3 linked regions of the Oreochromis niloticus genome follow. The protein of the gene in region 1 purifies or fractionates together with the protein of each later gene. This does not show direct contact. Links are inferred from orthologs where the notes say so. Each region holds a gene or a part of one and is shown on either strand. Other genes may lie near its edges.

The links.
Region 2: the proteins of tfdp1a (region 1) and e2f2 purify together in Homo sapiens (affinity purification with mass spectrometry; 3 studies listed by BioGRID and IntAct, with this or other methods). This does not show direct contact. The link is inferred for Oreochromis niloticus from reciprocal best matches to the Homo sapiens genes TFDP1 and E2F2.
Region 3: the proteins of tfdp1a (region 1) and transcription factor E2F3 purify together in Homo sapiens (affinity purification with mass spectrometry; 3 studies listed by BioGRID and IntAct, with this or other methods). This does not show direct contact. The link is inferred for Oreochromis niloticus from reciprocal best matches to the Homo sapiens genes TFDP1 and E2F3.

What each region holds. Positions count from the first base shown.
Region 1 is NC_031987.2:21,263,684-21,271,513, reverse strand, and holds the start of tfdp1a (transcription factor Dp-1a), read left to right. Parts: upstream 1-4,756; 5' UTR 4,757-4,907; intron 4,908-5,951; exon of another isoform or gene 5,952-6,246; intron 6,247-6,886; 5' UTR 6,887-6,959; coding exon 6,960-6,971; intron 6,972-7,397; coding exon 7,398-7,464; intron 7,465-7,647; coding exon 7,648-7,769; intron 7,770-7,830. Other genes in the region: dcun1d2a (DCN1-like protein 1), read right to left, coding at 53-55. UniProt on the Homo sapiens protein: Can stimulate E2F-dependent transcription.
Region 2 is NC_031983.2:14,406,209-14,414,041, forward strand, and holds the start of e2f2 (transcription factor E2F2), read right to left. Parts: upstream 3,069-7,833; 5' UTR 2,836-3,068; exon of another isoform or gene 2,645-2,835; 5' UTR 2,525-2,644; coding exon 2,249-2,524; intron 1-2,248. UniProt on the Homo sapiens protein: Transcription activator that binds DNA cooperatively with DP proteins through the E2 recognition site, 5'-TTTC[CG]CGC-3' found in the promoter region of a number of genes whose products are involved in cell cycle regulation or in DNA replication.
Region 3 is NC_031976.2:8,581,873-8,589,641, reverse strand, and holds the start of transcription factor E2F3, read right to left. Parts: upstream 3,078-7,769; 5' UTR 2,792-3,077; coding exon 2,510-2,791; intron 2,423-2,509; exon of another isoform or gene 2,217-2,422; coding exon of another isoform or gene 2,169-2,216; intron 529-2,168; coding exon 408-528; intron 1-407.

The sequences.
Region 1 (7,830 bases):
CTTACTGGCATTAAATCCAGTGCCCGGGTTTGTGTTTATTTTGGTTACCTACCATTTTTACACCCGCTGTTTGACCAGTTTGGTAGTCCGACTGTCGTTCATTATACGCATGCGCGGAAGTAGCCGGATTGCATAAAAAAGATGAGGTCTGCGGTAAACGCTCCGCTTGATATTTGCATTATTTGCGCTTATTTGATTACAAGTATTGCTTGTACCCGTAATTGTCGCGCAAAGAGAGTTAAAACGACACTTTCAAATACGTTGTTATACCAAGTGTAATACACATACAGGAAAACTCCCTCAAAACTGCATTCAGCACTGTTAAAAATAAAACTCAACCCCACCCTTCACCCGCTACACACACAGACACACACTTGTTGACTGCCAACATCCTCACACACCATCCACAAAACAATACACACTGTAAAACACAGCATCAGTAATCCTCCTTCACTGCACATCACACCTGCCTTGATCTGTTAGTGGCAGACATATGAACAGCTGACCGAAGAAATTTATTTAAACTGCATTAAAACAGCGACATTAAGGAGCTGTTGTAGACATCCAAGATTGATAGGTGACCCCAAAGCCTCAAAAAAAAAAAAAGAAAGAAAGTCAGAGCAGCCATTCTGAAATGTCATTGTAGGGTAAGCACAGGTGTAATAACATTCATCATGGCACTGCTCCATTTAGAAGGGTCTATTGTGCTTGCCAGCTCACTAGAACGACTGATAGACTAAATATAACAGGGTTATAATTGAGTTTAACACTTACATGCTTATTGTAGTATGAGATGTCAAAGTGGTTATTGTGAAAAAGACCTATTTTGATAGTAACCATTAATGAATATGGCTATATTAGCAAGAAAAAATCTAAAACATTGTTTGTAGTGCTGTGGAAAGGTATTGGGTTATGCTTACAGTGTTTACTGAATAAGATAACTAACTTTGGAATAGTTAACTTTAAATATATTTTAATAAAAGTCGCATCCCAGACCTGTTGAATCAAGAAATCACATAAATAAAAACCTGTCTGACAAAGTGAAGTAGGGTAAAAGACCTCAAACAGCAAAACATCATGCAACGATTTAAAGAAACTTCAGAACAGATAAGAAACAAATTCATTGACATCCATCAGTCTGGAAGGGGTTACAAGGTAATTTCTAGAGCTTTAGGACTCCAATGAACCATGGTGAGAGCCATTATCCATAAAAGAAGAAAACCTGGAACAGTGGCGAGCCTTCCCAGAAGTCGCCGGCCTACCAAATTTACCCCAAGACCGCATTAAATCATCTAGGAGGTTACAAAATAACCCAGGACAACCTCTAAAGAACTGCTGGCCTCACATGTCTCAGTTAAGGTTTATGATTCAACAGTAAGAAAGATACGGGGGGAAAACTGCATCTATGGGAGGATTCAATTCAATTTATATAGCACCATATCACAACATCAATCACCTCAAGGTGCTTTACATTGTAAAGTAAAGACCCTACAATAATAAAGAGAAACCTCAACAATCAAAGGACCCCCTTTGGGCAAGTGCTTGGTGACAATGGGAAGGAAAAACACCCTTTAAACAGGAAGAAACCTCTGGCAGAACCAGGCTCAGGGAGGGGCAGCCATCTGCTAAGACCAGTTGTGGGTGAGGGGAGAAGACAGGACAAAAGACATGATGTGGAAGAGAGCCAGAGGTTAATAATAACTAATGATTAAATACAGAGTGGTGTGTAAACACAGTGAAAAATGTGACTGAAGGAGAAACACTCCTTCATCATCAGAAGCCCCAGCAGTCTAGGCCAATTTGCAACAAAACGGGGCCCTAACTATATTCTTAGTCAGCAAAAAGGAACATTTTAAGCCTAATCTTAAAAGCAGTCTGTCTCCCGAATTCAAAACTGGAAGCTGATTCCACAGAAGAGGGGCCTGAAAGCTGAGGGCTCTGCCTCCAACTGTACTTTTAAACCTAGTAAACCAGCAGTCTGAGATCAAAGTGCTTTATTGGTGTGATATTGTACTGTGAGGTCTTTGAGATTTGATAGGGCCTGATTATTAAGGACCTCTGATGTGATGAGAAGGGTTTTAACTTCCACTCTGGATTTAACAGGGAGCCAACGAAGGGAAGCCAGCATGTGAGAAATACGCTTTCTCTATCTCTTCCTTGTCAGTACTCTTCCAGCATTCTGGATCAACTGAAGGCTTTTCAGGGAATTTTATGGCAGCCTGATAGTAATGAATTACAATAGTCCAGTGTAGAAGTAATAAATACATTAACTAATTTTTCAGTCTGAGGATTTTAATCTAATATTGGAGATGCTATGTATGCTATGCCTTCTAATGATACTACGTAAAAGCATGTATAATATAAACAGAACTGGTCCTAGCACTGAACCCTGTGGAGCTCCATAATTAACCTTAGTGTGTGAAGAAGAGTCCCCATATACATTAACAAACCAGAGTCACACAGAGAACACAGAGATGAGTCCACTGTCAGAGGCCATAGGAAGATCATTTGAAGCCTTCATAAAAGCTGTGCTGTGATGGGCTCTGAAACTCAACTGAAACTCTTCAAATAGCCATTCCTCTGCAGATGATCAGGTAGCTGTTTTACAATTACTCTTTCAAGGCTTTTTGAGATAAAAAAGAACGTTGGACATTGTCCTATAATTTGCTAAGACCGCTGGGTCAAGTGATGGCTTTTAATATGATAGTTTAATTACTGCCAGCTTGAAGGCATGTGATACATAGCACATTAATAGAAATAGACTGATCATATTTAAGCTTTAACGATAGGACTTTGAGCAGTCTTGTAGGAATGAAGCCTAAAGTGCATGCTGATGGTTTGGAGGAACTAATTACTAAAGTTAATACAGAAAAATTCCAAGGAGAAAACCACCGCTGACCTAAAAGACCACAAAGGCTAGTCTCACATTTGCCCCAAAAAACCCATCTTGATGATCCGTAAGACTTTTTGGAAAATATTCTGTCGACTGACAAGACAAAAGTTCAACTTATTGGAATGTTTGAGTCCCATTACATCTGGCATAAAACTAATACAGGATTTCATAAAAAGAATATCAGAGCATTGGTTTATGCATCAGCCCCCCCCCAAAACAAACAAACAAACAAACAAACAAAGAAACAAACAAACAAAGAAACAAACAAAAACAACATCCAAAAACGTTTTTTGAGTGACCTAGTCAAAGTCTGGGCTTAAAGCCGATTGAGATGCTTTGGGATGACCTTAAACACGCCATTAATGCTCTGAAACCCTCCAACGTCGCTGAATTAAAACAATTCTGCAAAGAACACCAAGGCCTTGGTGTTCCCCCGGAAAAGGTGGAAGAGGTAACTAGGGAAAGGGAGTTTTGCTTAGGGTGTTGCCCCCACAACCTGGTGCCAGATACACATAAGAAAATGGATGGATGGATGGATGGATGGATGGATGGATGGATGGAGAAAATCTACCTTGCCCAGCTATTCAAGAGTCACAAATACATGACTCATATGATAATTCAAGCAAAGAAAGGCAAACGGTTAAACCCTTATGAGCTAAGAAAAACATTTGTGATTACTTTATTAAAAAAATAGTATGGTAACAGGGTTAAATAAGAGTAACAGGGCTGCACAAGATAACGGGGTTGAACGGATATATTACTTTTACTTGTAGATTATGACATATGTGTGACAAATAAATACTCAGGACTACACAGAAATGTTGTTTAATAACATCTTATATATTTTTAACATGTTTGTAATGTTTGTTTTATATGTACAGTAACAGGATTGCAAATCAGTGCTAATATTAGAGTTTTCTCAGAAAAAGATGTAAGCTGATAGTTGACTGTGAAAGTCAAGAATAAATATAGAGATGTAAACAAAGGAATTAAACTTTCCAATTACTTTCTCTTTTGGTAATATGAATATCAGGGTTTGCATTGGCTGGAATGACACAGTCTAGTTAGAAAAGACTGGAAAAAATACAAAATATATCACAGAGGACTGACCTTCAATCTAACCACGGTGTTAACACGCGGCTCAATCGTGTCACTGACTTTTTGTCAAGTCACTCACTGTTTGGCCTCTTGTTTTTCCAGCCTAAATAGGTTTCAGTAACAGGGCTGCACATAGGTTTGCAGTGCGTAATTACTCTTCTTTAATATATGTTGATGTTTGCATGTTGTAAGCTGATGATGAACAAAATCAAAACAAGAAAAAAAGTGGATTTATAACGATTTTTAGCTGTTATAAATTAGTTATCGAGAGTTTGGCAAGAGAAAAAAATGCTATTTTGATAGTTCTCAAGAAGTATTTTGTATTTATATAATATTTTGGAATTGGAACCAACTTCACACTACAAATGTATGTTGTAATCTTTTGTGCCTGGACTGTTTTCAAATTCATATGGGGGAGCAAAGAAAATCTCCTGCATTTGTACAATGGCTCACTAATAGTGACAATAGTGAGTGTTGAGACCTCTCCAGTGCACTTGCTATTACTGATTTTTGCACCAAATCAGGTGAAATTGTTTCACAATGACTCATGGCTTCCTAACTGGACAGATTTGCATCCCTGAAGATTAACTAACTTTGTGTTAAATCTTCGATACTCTGATCCCTTACGTATTTTAAGACTTGTCATATTTACACATTTTTTATGGCACACTCCTGTGCAGCAGACGGCGCTGCATGTATCACGAGGGCTCTGGTATCCACCAATCCAAAGAGCTCCAGGTTGTGGGCATGAACTATTTTGACCGCTTTGCTTTCGTCTCATTCGTGCTGTCCAATCAAGCTCCACTAAAGCGAGGCACCGCCAAGATCAGATTGTGAGAGACGCTGGTGTAGCAAGGCTAACGGAAAGTCGATAGGAAAGGCTAGCGAGCAATCTGTTAACCTGTAAGGTGCACCGGTAAGCAGCATTCACTCACCTGCAGCTTGTCACTCAGCTGACGCATATGATAGAAACCGACGTTAAATATCTGTATGACCTTCTATTGTTTGTTAAGTATATAGAATTTTTTTTTTACCGCCAATAAATACAAAGCTAGCCGTCGAGGTAAACTTGTAGCTAATTCTGGGGTTGTCGATGACAGCTGGGGGTTAGCTTCTGTGCTAACCCACTAGCTAGCCAGTGAGCTAACAAAGCGCTGAAGCACCTACTTCTTGAAGTGCAATCGCGAGTTAGCTCAGTGTTGAAATAAACATTTTGATAATAAAGACAAGTACTTTTTGCATTGCATTTAATACATCCTCTTTCAAGTCGCTAACCTACGGCATGTAGCTGACTGTAACGAAGTGAAGAACAGAGCTAGTTTTGCGGTTCACGATGATTGTAATCGACCTGATTACAGTAACGTACTTGTATTGGATCCGTATGCAACGGTTCGTTTGGAAACGAACCTTATAAAAACTAATATTTAAGTTTTAGACACCTCAAAATGGCCACCTTTCTGTTAATTTAGCGTCAGGAAAGTATTCGTAAGGGTCTTCGTGTTTTATTAAGAACAAATAAGAAAGGTTACGCGATTAAATGCGTGGAAAAATAATAATAATAATACTAAGTCGAGTGTTTTTAAATGTAACTTCCAGACAACAAAGTGTGTTATTCATTAGTTAGCTATGTGTGTTGATACTGGTTACTACACTGGCAAAAGGAGGTCAGCGATTGACAATAAAACACAATAAACTCACGGAGTATATGCAGCTGCCTGCAACTGGTATTTCAGAAGTTGTGGTTAACTGTGGCAAAACATTTTTATCGTCTGGATTAAATCCACCTTGCTGGCATCGATGGCAAACTTTGTTTACTTTTTAGTCTGCTTGACTTGGAAACGATCACTCTTTGTACAGCTAACACACAGCAAGTTATGCAAATCCTGGCATGGCTTGTTGTATTAAAAAATAAGCTTAAAAGTGAAATACTCAAAGTAAATACATTATTTCGTACTTCAAATGAACTATATAATTGTTAAAAAGTATCTCGACATTTCTTAGTTTGTTTCCTGTTTAGTGGGGATTTAGACCTCCTCTTCCTCCATTCTCAAATGCCAACAACAACAGCCGTCGAGGAGACAGAGTGCACTCGTAAGCGCATACAGTCACCACAGTTAAGCTCATTCATCGTGCGAAAGGCACGTTCACTATTTTAAGTGTTAACCCATGGTGTAGTGTAGCTGGGATCTGCAGCACGGAACCAATAATCGCAACATTTCTACATGAATCGTCTCAGAGCGTGCAGGAGCTAACTAGTAAGCTAAGACCAGCAAGCTGGGTCTACCGCTAGCTGTTAGCAGCTAGCTGCGTCCAACAAAAGATTGTTCGTGCTAATCGACATATAATATGACCGCTGTTACAGTATCATGCAGCCACAGTGCCTGGAGCCACATAGTGCTGTCTCTGTTGCGACATTATCAGTTTAGCGCTGTTGTGGTAAAGTTCGCTTGTTTGCGTGACCTGTAGCAGAAGTTGGACGGTGCCTCTCCTCCGGACGTGCTCGGTACCTGAAGTAGGCCTTGTGCACACTTAGCGTAGTAAAAGTTGTGAGCATCAAGGGATGGCTTAATATGGTTTCCCGCATATCTAGAACATTTAAAAGTACTGCTCGGTGGCTCGTTCACGTGAGATTGGTGTGAGAAACGTACATTTCTGCGCATTTTGGCTTATAAAACAAATAGTGACGCTAACATTGGTGATGTAGTTAGCTTTCTACAATGTGCTCTTAGCAAGCAGACCAGATGGGCCTTACTTCAGAAATAAGTTTAAATTTCATCTCCAAAACAAAGTGAAACACAGCTTAGCTTGGGAAACAGTATTGGGAAATATGATGTTTGGGTCAAACTGTAATTTTGTCATTATTTAAGTAATAGTTTGTTCTCTTTCTGTTTACAGGGGTCTGAATAGTGACTGGCAGAGGAAAAGTCTTTTTAACCCAAAGCATACCTCTTTTCGGTCCTTTGGGATCATGGCTAAAGATGTAAGTAAATATATACATGGTTTCATGAGAAACATCAGGCTATTTTGGCTGTGTCACCTAGACTGTAGCTAATTTTGGGTCCTTAAATTTACTGGCTGCACTTAGTCTTGTAGCGTTTTCTTTTTTCTTTTTTTTCTTTTTAAATAGACTGTGGGATTTGTTTAGTGATTTCATAGTGGAGTGGTTTATACATTTGCCTTACAAAAGATCCCCTGTTAGGTCCTGGAAGGTGACACAGTTCCACTGAATCAGGAAGGGCATCCATCCAGCATAAAAACTCTGCCAAATCAAACTTGTACAACTCACTGCGGTGACCCCTCATAAATAAGGCATCAGCCAAAAGTAGCTTCTACTGTATGTTTGTTTAACTGGACTCGTCTTCAATTCTGTGGTTTCTGCAGTATATTAAGTTGTTCTCTTTTACAGGCTGGTCTAATTGAAACCAATGGAGAGCTGAAGGTTTTCATCGATCAGAATCTGAGCCCTAGTAAAGGTATATTTTGTGAATACTTGCCTACAGAAATTGTGCATATGTGATATACAGGGCATTCTAAGCAGTATGTACAGTCTAGTTTAAGAGGCAGCAGGGCTGTTTGTTGGTAGGTGGACAATAGGGGGCAATGGTGTTTCATTCAAAAGCTTCCCTCATTAATGATCTTCTCATGTCTCCTATAAGGTGTCCTGTCCTTGGTTACTGTCCAGCCCACAGCTGCCCCTGTGGCCAAACAGCTACTACCCAAAACCCTTGGGCCATCCAATGTGAACGTCGCTGCACACATGCAAAATGTGCCACACATGGTAAGTGAGGTCCTGTTATGTCAGCATTATGTGGTTTCTTTTTTCTTAAGGCGTAGAAACC
Region 2 (7,833 bases), on another chromosome or scaffold:
ATAGCTGATACGTTGCCTTTTTCTAGAGTTAGTAAGATTAATAAGTAAAGACGGGATCTCTGCAGCTAACATTTACTAAAATCAGTCAAATATTAACCTTTTATTTTATTTTTGTAGGTAGGTGCCTACAAAAGTGTGGGACTATGTGTAATGTGTTCAGAGAGTGTTTAGATTGTTTGTACTTACAAAAATAAATTCTAAGCTTTAGAATCTGGTTTCCCAGTCAAAGTTTAAAAAAAGGAAATCTTAGAGAAAAAAGCTGTGGTTATAATGTTGTATAGGTTAAAGGAAGTGAGCTGTAAGTACATGAAAAGGCAACACTTCCTGCAAACACAGGAGTCATGACTGAACATGCACTGAAACAGCTGTGTCAGCAACACATTACTATCTTCAGCTTCTTTACTGTCGTCAATAAAACTTCATAATATCATCGCATCAAATGTATCCTGCAAGATAGCTACCATCAGCCATCGCAACACATATAAGAGCAACTGAAATGTCGTGGTGTTTAGTCATTCAAACCCAATCATAAAGATAATGACATCCTTGTGTCTAATCATTTATATATTAGTGCAACAAAACTAACGTATAATAGAAGGAATAAGCTCAAACATCATTAAAGCCCACTGTACCACTTATTTCTAGACACGGGAATCAAATCACTTAAAATGATCAGTTTAAAAGCAGAAACTTTAAGGTGGGCTCCCTCCCTTTGATTAAGTTTACCCAATTTACTGAAGTGATCCAGAGGAAGTTTCTTAATCAGAGAACTTTTTGAAACCTCATCCGTATTTTCAACCGTGCCGTCACTTCTATCAACCTGAATCAGGCTCCTGTTTTTGTGGTAAAATTGAAATGTGCACCTGTGACAATGTGCAACAACTGAAAATATTCAAATCCCTTGAAAACAGAAGTTACCGTGGTCACAGTGTGCATGCACAAAAACACAGGCGACATGATTGCGTACACAGGGGTAGTGTCGTAAAGCCTACTGAACCACATCACATCCAGTATGTCGAACAATTACAAATTAATTTTCTGAGGTGTAAATAAAAATTCTGTCATTTAATAACTGAATTCTTGCTTATTCTAGTGGCCAAACTTTAAGGTTGGATTTCAAGGTGAAAACCAGGTTATCAAACGTGAATGCATGTAATAATTCTATAAACCAACAACCCATACACACTTTGACAGCAGTCAGGTTCACATTGGCACATGATATGCCAGGTGGTACCCTATTTCTCACTTTACTTATATCCATCTAATCCTCTTGAAGGGCCTATTAGGGCTGGGGATTTGACATGCGATTTGAAAACCCTGTACACACTCTAACCCCTTTAGCGTTACTGCAATTCATTAAATCTAAAAAAAGACTCCAGGGCTGACGAGTCAGCTGGAATAAAGACACCAAATACAACAAACAACAACAGGTGTGGAGCACTAAAAAGCTGCTGAGTGTCACCCAATCTTCTCAGATCAGGATTTTCAAATAATCTTCAGCATTCGAGTTTAAAATGAACGGCATTGCTAAACGTCGTTAAAGCCCACTGTGTACGTGTTCTACAAAACAGGTTAATCTTTTACTTATTTGTGATGCTTTAGGGCTTCCGATAGTAATACTTTCACACTCCAGAAAATACACCTGTTCTGTGGTTATGACCTCTGACCTATGCTTCCTTCCCATTGTCCAACACAGACCCTGTTTTGACATAATGGGAAGTGAGGGTGGAGCATCTGTTATGTGTGTTATCACCCATTACAAGTGTTGGGAAGCTATGAATTTGCCTTAAGTGTCTTTCCTCCAGCTTGGTTGAGCCCCTGCATTGTTTGCTTGTATTAAAAAAAACTAGCTCTGCTGCATCAAGGAGGGGGGGCACTCGTCTTTTGGGCATAAGAGAGTGGGGCCTCTCTCTAAGCACCCCCACTGGCTCATCAAAACCATCAAACACAGAACAAGGCGTCTGGCCTTGTGTTAGCTACAGCTGGACTGCGGGAGAAGATGTCACACAGCCTGGCATGGATAAGGAAAAAAAAGAAAGAGAGAAGACACCATTCACGCACATCAGCAGCAGCCACAGTGGCCCCTCTGTGGCTTATCACGTCAAAACATATCTGAATGCGCCCTTCTCAAACATGCATAGCAATGAAAAAAGTCAAATATTCCTCCTCCGGACATATGCAAATCCCTCGCTAAATATTATACAATAAGGAAACACGACCCCAGGCTTATATTTGTGTGATTATTTACCGGCAGTCGCCCGGAGGATGATCTGATCGGTTTAACCTCGGGTCCATGGGGGGTTGAATACAGGCTGTTGGCTCTTTGTTCGGCCACGCTGGTGTTGCAGATCTGGGTGAAATATCCGGCCGGTACCGTGTTCATCTGCGGACTGGACAGTCCGGCGAGGAAGAAGTCGGTCTTCACTCCACCGGTGGACAAAAGCTTCATCTTCTGCTGAGAGCAAGGCAGCCCCACTGCCTGCCGACCCGATGCCGGCGAGACGCCTTTAGGCATCCGCATCATTTTTCTGAGTGAACCGGACCGGTGAGGCGAAGGCAGAAGTGTGCCTGTACTTGAGCACACTGAATCGCTCAGCAAGCTTCACCTACTGCGGGACCTCTATGAATATATAAACTGCCTATACTGTAACACACACAAACAAAACAAAAGCAACTTTCACAGCGTAAACTGCCGGATTAGCTTCAAGCCGCATGAATTACACATGCAGTACAGGCTTATATGTTATAATGTGACGTTTATCATTAGTACATTCAACAGGCTGTTCGGTGTTGTTATCCTTTGTCCTGTATCAGTGTAGAGGAAACTTGCCTTACCAGTTATAAAGAATAGCTTCCTGAATAAATAAACTATTTCAAACGTCCAGAACTTTAAAGTTTAATTCTCCAAGGCTTCCAGGTCTCACTGAGATCCGGTTCCAGCAGGAGATTAACAAATTATTGTGCCTCCCTCTGGTGCTGAATCCGACCCAGTCTGCCACTCCTGTCCGTCCACCTCAGAGCTCCTCTCTCCATACAAGGGGGCAAGAGCTGGGGCAGAGCAGTCTTTTTACCGCCAAACTTCATCCCGCGAAATTCGGATCTCCCGCGGCTGAAAGCCGCTTCTGATTGGCTCATGGCACGTTCGGCTTGTCTAATTTGCATAAAACAGTTGTACGGCTATGGGAGTGATCTGCTTAAAGGGACAGGAGCACACATCCGAGACATGGTGTTCTTTCATTGCCAGGCTGGATATGGAGACAATGACCAGCCCAGACTTTATAATCACACGTTAGAGGTGCATTATTGTTGTTGGAGCACTTTTTATTGCCTTTTTAACTCCACTTGTAACCACTTACTTGCATTTACAGCATCCCAGTTCAGTTCCTTGACAGTCAAAGATTACAAAAACGGTTAAATATTAACTTCATATGTTTATATGAAATTTGCAGTGTATTAAAATGAAGTCTGATTCTGCAAATGGCGCAATCATGTACAGTATGTTCAAATAGTGCCGAATTGCTCTCTGGGTAATTAGGACATAATAAAATATGTGTATTAGAAATCAGAGGGCAAGAAAGGATTGGAAAGTTTTTTTTAAAGTTTTATTTTGTAAATATAATTAAATATACACTGTATGTTTTTTGTAAACAATAAAGACAATTTTGCTTTATTGTATTCTATGTGATCAAAGTGTACTGTTCCCTGTTACAAGGTGTTGCTGGGGTAGTTTATAGATGATAATTGGATTCACTCAGTACCACTCCTGCTTATTGGTTCAGAGGAGGTATTGAAAGAAAACACCCCCTCCCCCACTTGCAGCAACCAAACCCAAGCCATATGACTTGACCCCCTTGGCCAAGACAAAGTAGACTCTCCACCAAAGCAGCCCCATTGTCCGGCCTCAATCTGAACGGCATTTTGAATGAAATAATCAAAGTTGAAAGTGGTTTGAATGCACAACAAATTTATTGTTTGTTGTGCATCTGTGCCTTTAAAAAACCGAGGGTGAAGAAAAAAAGCTGACATAGTTGCCTCCTTATTACACTGGATTAGAGATGGGGAGATAATTCTTAATTGTCAGATGAAAGAAATTTGCTTCGTTCACCACATATTACTGCACTGGATGCCCACAGAGTGCAACGTATATTATCCCCACCCTCATGTTTCTTCCTCTTTCACACAAAATCCTGCACAATTTGTAGGTGTTCTTGCATAACTAGCAATACTGGAAATTCAGATTCACGTTTTATCCCAACTGCATAACATGCAACATCTCACAGCATTCTAGTGATGTACCTTTTGTACTTTAAACTTTGTTGCTTGTTTCTTTTCTTTTAAAAAAAAAAAAATCACTAGTGATGTTTCTCTCTGTCACATCAAAATTTGTGATGTTTCAAAATTTGTTCAGTGTATCAAACAGTGAATTTGTTTTATGAAACTCACGTGGAGTTAAATGAGTGTTGGGACAGTTACACATTTATTGTAGCTTTGCTGCCTACACCCCCAAATAGCTGTGCTATTTATAGCCATTTGTATACAGAGTCCTCTATTTTCAGTAACGGCGCAAGTGATGACTGAAGTAGAACCAGGAAACATCACTAAATGCTGTTTTTCCTCCCTTGAGACACTCTGCTAGGCCTTTACTGCAGAAATGTCAGCTGCTGCTTGTTTATGGGTCTTTCTGCATTTGTTTTTGTACTTAGTGCACTAAGTGCATGCTAGATGGGGTTGCCAGTCAGGTGACTGACTTAGCCCTTGATATCTCATTGTCTTGAGAAAATCTTGGGTACCTTTTGCTGTATGCTTTCGGGTCATAATTCATCAGTTTTGCAGCATCTGACTGAATCTGAGCAGAGAGTATAGTAATGCACATTTCAGAATTCACGCTGCTTATATTGGCATTCATATAATCAATAAGCATTAGTGATCTAGTTCCACTTAGAGCCATACACCAAGCAGGCATAACAATATGACCACTGACAGGTGAAGTCAATAACACTGGCTATCTCCTCATCATTACACCTGTTTGTGAGTGGGATATATTAAAAAGCAAGTGAACATTTTTGTCCACAAAGCTGATGCGACAGAAACATGAAATATGGGCAAAGATTTAAGCAAGCTTGACGAGGGCTAAATTGTGAAGGCTAGAACTCCAAAATTGCAGGTCCAAGGAAGGAACAGTGGTAAACCAGTCACAGGGTCATGGCAGCTAAAGCTCACTGAGGCACGTAGGGACTGAAGACCCGTGTGATCCAATCCAACAGACGAGCTACTGTAGCTCAAACTGCTGAGAAAGTTAATGCTGGTTCTGATAGAAAGGTGTCAGGTCAGGGGGCCCTTGCTGACCTGTTTCCACTACTGAAAGCGCCAACAACAAGTGCGCATCAGAACTGGAGTTTGGAGCAATGGAAGAAAATGGCCTCATCTGATGAAGCATGTTTTCTTTTACATCACATGGATAGCCCGGTACGTGTGTGTCACTCATCGGGCACAACAGCGGGCACCAGAATCCACTACAGGAAGAAGCCAAGCCAGTGGAGGTAGTGTGAGGTTTTGGGGAACATTCTGCTGGGAAAGCTTGGGTTCTACCATCATGTGGATGTTACTTTGACACGTACTAAGCATTGTTACAGACCATGTACCCCCTTTGATGGAAATTATATTCTCTGATGGGTGTGGCCTCTTTCAGCCAGATAATGCACCCTGCCACAAAGCAAAAATGGTTCCCCAATCCAATCAAGCATCTGTGAGATATGCTGAGCAAACAAGTCCAATCCACAGAGGCCCCACCTCACCACTTACAGGGCTTAAAGGATGTGTTGCTAACATCTTGGTGCCAGTTATCACAGCACATCTTTAGGGGTCTAGTGGAGTCCATGCCACTGGATCAGGGCTATTTTGGTAGCAAAAAGGATGGTCAACAGAATATTAGGCAGGCAGTCATAATGTTATGCCTAATTGTTGTACATGCTCATCCCATAACATCTCCTCTACCATGTTTGGCAATGTGGTATGCTTCTGGTCATGAGTGGCTGCAGCTGAGATTGAGCAGGTTGCCTACTTGGAAAGTCGGTGCTTCAATCCCTGACTACTCCACTCTGTATCAGAGTATCCTTGGGTGAGAACCCCGCTGCGTCAATCAACGTTAGAGCGAATGTTCGTGGTGCTTAGGTATATAGAAAAAAAAAGCCCTTATAATAATGTGTGTGATTGGGTGAATGAGAGTAGTAAAAAGTGCTTTGAGTGCTCCAAGTAGAAAAGCATGATATAATACCAGTTTATTTATCACCATCATGAGCCATTCCTTTCTTTCTCCATGCTTTTCTCTTCCCATCATTCTGGTACAAGTTAATCTTGGTTTCATCTGTCCAACATTTTCCCCCCAGAACTGTGCAAACTCTTTGAGCTGTTTCCTGGCAAAGACTAATCTCTCCTCATTGTTCTGGAGGGACACCAGTAGTTTGCACTTAGTTATAGACCCTCTGTATTTAATAACAGACCTTGAGAGTGATACACCCACCTGTTTGAGAATGTTTTCAAAGATGTCTTCAGTGTTTTCTGAACAAAGAAGGATATCCTATAATCATGCACTAGTTCAGTCTTTTGGGCCTTTCTATGTTATTGAGCTGGTCAGGGTATTCATTATTTTTAAGAATATACTAGACTGCTGATTTGCACCTTTCACCAGCAAGTTCAACAATTGGAATCCACTCCAGATTTTTCACCTTCTGAATTTGTCACAAAATAAGACGAGAACTGGGCTTACTTGGCCATGAGACAGCTTATCAGTCATTTGTCCACTGTGCTGCTGTAAAGAAGAAAAATCATTTTCAAATTATTGTGCAATCCTACATTTTGAGCTTGAGCTTTAGTCTACTCTGCTTCATTTTGACATTGAAAGCAACAGTTCTTGATGTCAGGAGGCTCCATCCTCATCCAACAGCCCCATCTAGTGTGGACTGGCAGCTGATCTTCATGTTGTTTGCTGCTTGCAATTAAAGTCTTCTTCATTACTTAACCAGATTAACATACATGACTAAGTTTAACATTGGTGTTAAAGAATACATACAAAACAGTTTGATATGTTTTTTATTGGTTATTTGTCTGTAGGTTTTTCTTGTTGGCAATCTTTCAGCTGGCACTGGTTAATATGTGCGTAAATTTGGTTAAACTGGTGGAAAATACCGGTTTGATATTTACCTCCTGTGTATGCTAATGGGTAGGAGAGCCAATTTATATCCCAAGTGACTATTGTGATGACAAGATTGTGTCCTACTTGTGTTTTCTCCCAATGTTTTTGCCAACCAAAAGAGTCCCAAGACTTCCTAAGTGCTTTTTAAAGGTTCCAGGCAGCACCTAGTGATCGAAGAGCGGATTGAACAGCCATAATAGTTTTATTGTAGATTTTAGGTGGTAGGCCAAGTGGGAAAATATTTCATAATAATAGTTGTAACTATTTTTTCAGTATTGATTTGATGTTAAGAAACATTATTAGAAAAGATTTGTGTGCAGTTTATTATTTTACTTTAGCGTGTATGTCTCGTATGGCTTGAGACCCAATTAGCAGCAGTCAATAAAAGGCTGCCAGTTCAGGGCCGCTGCTGGAACCAGGTCCCACCACTGGGCTACATTGTCTTATTTTTTGTTCTGTTTTAGCTTTTATTTTTTTATTTTTTAACGTTGGTGAATAAACACGTGGGTGGTCTGCACCTCATCTCTACCACATGCCTCCTATTTTAACCCAGCCGCTATGAGCCATCCTAACACTGTTATTTTAAAATTCAGATTCTTTTATTATCGTTCAGCAATGCATCACTGATATATTGCTGAACA
Region 3 (7,769 bases), on another chromosome or scaffold:
AAGCAATAAGCTTTATATGAAACACTTCCCTGCTTTTTTTTAATATGTTGAGAGAGTTCCCCATTTCAGCTCCATGGTTTATATACACAATACTACTGTTTATATATTGATGAAACCGATTAATCAGCACTACTAATATACTGATATAACACTGGAGAGATTTTTCTTCACGGAAAGCTGAGTGAACCACTCGGAGAGAACCAAGGACCTTACCTTCATGTTGATGTTTAGCTCAAGGGAAAAAACAAAACTCATTTTATTCTAATAACCATAAAAAAAAACCAGCTGCATCTACAGTGTTCCCATCTGTGCTGCTCGGCAGGAGCATGGACATGATGAAGTTGAAACAATCTGCAGTGAAATGAACAAACAAGACGACAGAGGGCTCCTAAGAGCCACCTTCTTACTTCTGGGTGTCTTCAGCCGTGCCCCATTTGATGCCGCGGCTCCTCCTCTACCTCTAGGAGTTTTGGCTGGTTCTGTCTGGTACTGGTGGTCCGAATCATCGAGTGCCAATCGCCTTTTTGCCTAGGAGAAAGCAGAAGGGATAGTTAAGGGTGGATGTGGTCATTTGGCAGTAACCTCCAAAGCCTTTCCATAAGCCTAGTCTCTCTAAAACACAGCAGAGGACCAAAGAAGCGTTTACATAAACAGACAGAGTGACTGCTAGTTTCAGACTGCCTTTAGTCACCAAATGTGATTGTTCTCCGTCGACTACTTCAGTATTCCTGAGGTTTTCGCAGCAAGGACAGCGACATCAAATCTGAATTGAAAGAAGTTTTGTCAGCCACCGGATTTATATTTTCCCCCAATTTTATTGGAAAGGGCAAGCCCAAATAGCTCAAGAGTGAGTCACATCGACGATTTGAACGTCCCACCGCACACCAACGCCAATCCCAATAAATATTAGACCGTATAACTCCACCCAGCCCAATAATTAAAGGAAGCATCAAGTAGTTCTGCTCAGTCCAAAACTTGATTCTCAAATCCAGACAAAAATGTCTGATGTCCAATTACCCACCATGAGTCTGTTTAAGCATATGATCCAGCAATTTATGGCTCCAACACAAGCTTTTATTTAGTTTCATATGAATCTACATTGCCTCCAGATTCATCTGTACCATTCACCATGTTTGAGCTCATTTATGGCATGTGTTGAACATTGGATTTGGTAATGCAGATGTTACATTTCTTACCATAAACATACCTGAATACATGTTTTGTTTCTTAAAGCACAAAAACACAATAATAATCATTTTTTTAACCATAACCCATCTCAATTATAGCCCAATGAACATCAATCTGTGCTTTTGCAAGAATCCATCCTGTTTTAGTGTCTTTGAGCAGGACAGAGTGCCACCAGCTTGCTGGTCTGCATTTCCCTCTAAAACTCATGCACAGCAGAAGCCACTTTCCCCTGAAATGGAAAACATATTATAATTTTTAAACCCATACTTACTACTTCATCTTTTGCATAACCCCAGACTGAGAAAGAAAAAAATATGTCCTCTGTTGACAGTCAAAGTGTCAGCCATTTTATATCAGCAAGCAGCTCCCCTCACCCCAAAGCCTTCTCATGGCTCACAGCCTGATATGTGCAGACTGGTTGAGTTCATAAAAGATGAATAACCAGGAGGAGAAAGAAAAGAAAACAACACCCTGAATGCAGCTTTAACTGTTTTGTGTGGTTTGTGCATGTTGAGAATACAGGAAACGTAGAATCAGCACTAAAGCAACAAACTCGGGTTTCACTTTACTTGACATGAAAGGCACCACAGCGTTACTTTAGTGACAAAAGAGTGGCATGAAACAGTTGTGCCGAATTAAAAGAATAAGGTCAAGCTCGACAACGACTAACGTTGCTCTCTAATAACCAATAGTGCTACTAGCTCTGATAGCTAACGCATATTTTCAAAGCTTTACCCAAGTTGGCTTGCATCTTCACAGACGACTGGGAGAAAATCTATCGAGCAGACCCCAGACTGAATTGTAGCGATATCTGCGTATAACATCGTGCCTTTATAAGTTCCACTAATCATGTAGCATTAAAACGCTAAAAACAAACATATAGCTTACCAAAAACCGGGCAGGGAAACCATCCCCCAACCCCCCAAATTAAGACACCAACAGCAGCCACTAGGCCAGCGCTAACGTTAGTCATCTCTTACCAATATTTCCATCTGGCTGCAAAGGTGAAGCGGACTCAAAAGCACCATGAAGTCTGCTAACACTCTCTTAGTTGACAGGTCTGCATTCCAGTTAACGCTAAACTCACTTAAACTTGTCACTGGCGTCCCCACAGTAAACGAAAACACTTAACCAGCCCACTTGGGTAACTTAGCTAGCGGTAGTTAGTTAGCCACCTCGCTAGGTTGAGTCGTGGGAATGCCCTGGCTAAGTAGCTAACGTTAGCTGCCCTGAACAACAAGCTCGGCTAGGTTAGCAAGCTAACATTGTGTAGCTGAGCGTAGCAAAGCTAAATGTATAAGCAAGCTGTGTGGATTATTACCGGCGGTCTTCCCAGAGCGGGTCGTTGTCCTGCTGCGTTTGCTGCAGCTTGTTGTGGAGTTGTGTAAATGTTGTTAATCTGAGGCTCGGATAAACACACATTTGATGTCTGTGTAACGTTGCAAGGCGGTGGTGTGGTTATTATTTGGATATACGTAGCGTTTGATTGACCGGGGTTCAAACGATCCGAGAGAGCTGTTAAAATTATATTATTATCCAGAGAAGAGCCTCCAACCCCTGCTAAAATCACTTTTTCCTGAGCCGAGGAGGTCCCTCTTCTCATCTTGCGTATTCAGGGTAACCCCTTTCTTATCTCGGAACTTTCGAGCTCGTATAGCTGCTAATCCGCCGCAATGGTTACAAAAATAATCAGACCAAAGTAAAGACGAGTGTCTGAACTATCGATTTCTGAAAAGTATTTTTCCCTCAGAAAGTGCATTTAGGCAGATGCAACGGATTAAAAAGTAGCGCAACTCTCGTTTCCCCCGTCTAGAAATGGCTTCAGGAAACGGCCTGATGAATGAAGGGATACGGTTTACGCGCTCAAGAACCCTCCCGCGAAACTCAGATTTCCCGGGAAAATTTCAAACGGAATTTACATGCCAGACCCTATTGGCTCCTAACGGCGGAGTACCCACCCATATCGATATCATTTCGACCAATGACGGCTTCAGATTTAGTGCGCCACGTGTTCATTGGCAGTTGTAAACACGTGGCGTCACTTGTCACGCCTTGCGAGCTCTCTGATAGGACGTAAGGTGGCGCCAGAGACCAATTTGCTGAAGAGAAAGCATGAAGAACCAAAACATATCTACGGACTTAAATATTATAGCAATAAAAATGTAATTATTATCATTTGACCCGAATGTAACACCGTACACAATATTAGGCTCATTTTTTTAGCTTGATTTTTTTTGTGTGTGACCCTTAAATTTACTATGACAACGTTGCATGACATAAAATCTTAACCTACAATATTATAGACAACAGAGAGCTATGATTTCAAATAAAAGACTGGAACCAATTTGCATCCCCCTATTTTTCCTTATAAGGAAAAATAAGGTAGGTAGAATAGAAATTTTCTATTCAGGTAGAATAGAAAATTGCAATATAAGAACTAGTCCATTTACCATTTAATTTAATTATGTTTTTGCAAAAGTCATTTGCAACTGTGTAAATTTGCTTTAACATTTGCAAAGCCATAGGTTTGTGCTTCTTATCATTTCTGAACAGGTTTACATTAATCATAATTTGCTTTAGTGAAGGTTTTGGATCTTACCTATAACTTTAAAAAAGGCACATACATTGCAAAAATCAGGTCCCAATACACAGTCTCAGTGCTGCAAGTGAGCTCAACTCTATGTTGCAACAAATGTGATTAACTTCTTCTTTTCCCATTAGTTTCCAAAGCACCCAGTGACATCACAGATTTTGTTTTCTTTGTTTGTTATTTTAGTGATTGCTTAAATAGTACATTGTGTGATGTTCATCTCTTTGGACCATGTTCAAGGAGAAAATAACTGAGGAGCAAGTGTGCTGATGTCATCTGCATAAGTGAAAGAATTATAGGGGAAGATATAGATGGCATGAAGTTACAGCCAAGTGAAAAAGAACGTTTTCAGAAGTTAAAATAGAAGTTTTCGCTTCCACTGTAATTGGAATTACTCTCAGGTACTGCAAATGAAATGCACTTGATTGACTGATCATCAGCAAGTGTGAGCACCTTGATAAAAGCTGAAGTTTGAGCAGTTTGCTGATCTGGGGCATTTACTGTAGGTGTGTGTTGTCAGGACAATGCTGCAATCTTCCTGGGAGTGGACATTCCAGAAAATTCATTCCATGCCCAGAGAAATGGAAAATTCCCAATCTCAGGCCTCAGTTTGTATGTTAAATATTAAAGTTTTTTGGCAGTACAATTAGAAGAAAACTGAACATCTATGGCTTGTTTGGAAGGGTTGCCAGGGGAAAGCCTGAAGAACATAGCAGCACAGTTTAGGTTTGCATCTGGAACAATGTCCTTTGGACAGACCAAAGTAGAGATATTTGTCCACAATTTTCAGCACCATGTCTGGAGAATATCAAACACAACAAATCTGTAAAATCACCTCATGCCAACTGTCAAACACGGTGGTGGAGGGGTGATGATTTGTGTTTGCTTTCCAGCCTCATAACCTGGGTGCCTTGTAGTTACTGAGATGACTGTCAACTCCTCTCTATACCAGAGTATTCCCAAAGTCAAAGTCAGCTTTATTGTCCAAACCCATATGTACAGATCATACACAGAAATTCTAGAGTGAAATAAGAGATCATCTGTTTGCCATCTAAAGTTTGGGTGAAACTGGGTGAGCAGCAAATCAACCACAACAGAATACCTGAGAAAAGATGATGTTCCAGTGGCTCAAGTCAAAGTCCAGATCTCCACCCGATTGGAAAGAACCTGAAGAGAGGTGTGCATAAATAAAGTCCCACAAACCTCAATGAAATGAAACATCACAGCAAAGAAGCTCAAGGCAAAGTTTCTCCACAATGACATGAGAAACCAATAAAGTTATAAAGAAAACAATGACTTCAATTTGTTGCTGCTAAAGGTGGCTCTACAAGCAACTGTGAAAAGTCTCTTTTTTACATGACTCTACACAAAGTGAAACTATGTCTTGCAGTCACAAGATCTACTGTATGGTGCCCTGAGGTGCAAAACACAACAATACAACTGAAAACACAACAACATCACCCTTTATTAGTATTATTATTAGAATTATCTATAGCGACAGCCTGATGTTTCTATACTACTCTGAGCAGTGTCCTTGCGCGGAATTTAAAGTTTTCAGAGAGTTAAAAAAATATGGAAAGGGATTTTGGAATAATGAGAGAATCTTTTAACAAAGACATTCCTTCCATGATAGCACACTGGAAAGAATTCAGACTGAGATCACTGGATAATGTTATGCAGAGTTATGCCTGCTTTTCTTATCCTGAGTTTTGTCCGTCATGTTACCACATGTAGCCAAAGCAGAAACATTTTGTTTTTTGTTTTGCACATCAGGGCCACCATACAGGTGTTTGGATGGAGGACAAGACAGTGAGGGCATGACAAAAAGTTACAAGTATAACTGACTTCAGTGATAACTGTCCCCTGACTACAATCCAATTTAGTTGGCCTGATTGCTGAGTGCGGTTCCTTAGACAAGACCCACACGACATTCTGTTTCCCCACATTTCGTTTTCATTTTTACTTTGACATATAATACAATAATAACTGTAAAGTGGAAGGTAGAGCAGCTGAAACAGCTGAAAATAACCGTGTGTTGTGTCAGTGTGGAATATAAATGGGGATATCCATCCATCATGACTTCAGTGATGTTTTACTGTATGACAAGTTAGTAGTTTGACTTAAAGGTCACATTACACTGCTGTCTTTCTAGCCAACAGTATGTCAGTATGGTTTGTATACCCTGTAAATAGACGGTGAATTGTGGTGACAGGATGACATAAAGGCCAAAGAAACCGCCCTTCATATTAAGAAAGATTCAGAAAGAAACCACCTCAGACTAAAGCATGATGATGTGTCCTAACTAACCTTATTCTGGTTTGATTTTGCAGTTGATCTTCAGTGTCATATTGATTGTTTATCATTTAGAAAATATGATATTTTTAAGTCCTCCTGTTGCCACGGGGACCACTGTTGCCTTCACCTTCAGCATCCTCTAGCTCCTCTCTCAACCCTTTGTATTTCTCCCGTTCTCTACTTTGTGATGGTGCTATCACTTGGTATAGCTAAATCTACTACTACAGCCATCTTCTGTGCTCGTCCACCACTATGATGTCTGGTTGGTTAGCCACCACCAGTTTGTCCATCTGTATCTCCACAGGATCTTAGTTTGGTCATTTGCAACAACCCTTGGGGGTGTATCCCATTTTGACCCTAGAACTCCTAGGCCATACTCAGCACAGATGCAGGACTTCCTGATAGGTGACAGCGAATTTATTTATAGTGGAAAAAACAAGCAAAGATGTGCAAAAACAATTCCAAAAAAAAGTTTCCTTTGTGACAGTCTCCCGAGTCCCGTGCAGTAAATTCTCCTCTTGGTCTGTGGTACAATAAACTACCTCAGCAATATTTACAAAATTCAAGTCGAGGGGGGCAGGACTATGGCACAACAAAAAATATGACAGAAACATCATTTTACAAAACAGGGTAACAATCGAAATGCATTGTGGGAGATTAAGCAACATACAGTAAACTTATTTTAATGCAGAAGTTCTCCAGTGGATGTTCCATCCCCTACAGCGATTTCCTCCATTTTCCTAATGCAAGCTTGATGGTTAGAAGCTCCTGGTCGCCCACAAATTAGCAGAGTCAAGGAATCTTTGAAGCTGTTTCCTTGTTTGGGGTTGAGACCACTCCACCACAGCTTTAATCTCAGCCGGGTCAGCTTGTAGCTTACCCTGTTCCACGATGAACCTGAGGAAGGAAACTGACTGGACATGAAACTCACATTTTTCTCCTTTTACAAAGAGGTGGTTCTCCAGCAACTGCTCCAGGACTTGGCGGACATGTTTCTTGTGTTCCGACCTGGATTTGGAGAAGATGAGAATGTCATCAACGTAAACAAATACAAAATGATTGATGAAATCCCTTAGGGCGTCATTCACTAAGGCCTGAAACACTGCAGGGGCGTTAGTGAGTCGAAATGGCATGACCAGATATTCGAAATGTCCAAGGTGAGTATTGAAGGCTGTTTTCCATTCATCTCCCTCCCTTATTCTGAATAGGTGGTGTGCATTTCATAAATTGAGCTCCTTGCGGTAACTAATGGGCCAAAGACAACAGAGGAAGGGGGTACTAATTTGTTACAGTGATTTTGTTTAGACAAAGAAAGTCAGTACATAGACAGAGAGGTTTGTCCTTCTTTTCTACAAAGAACAAGCCCGTGCCGAGCGGGGAAGTGGACGGACAGATTATCCTGGCAGCTAGGGAGTCAGTAATATAATGCGCCATAACTTCCATCTCTGGATTAGAGAGACTGTACAGATGTATAGTGGGAAGTGGGGCCACAGTCGTAGGGACGATGAGGCGGGAGAGAAAGAGCTAAGTCTTTGCTAAACACTTTAGCTAAGTCATGATAGACAATGGAGGTTAGATTAGGTGGTTCAGCTAAGTCAGGTGGGGCAGCGGTCGAGAAACAAAAAGTAACTGACCGACCGTAAACAGTTTTCACAGCACCAAAGGCTCCACCTGGAAAGACAGCCTTTAGACCAGT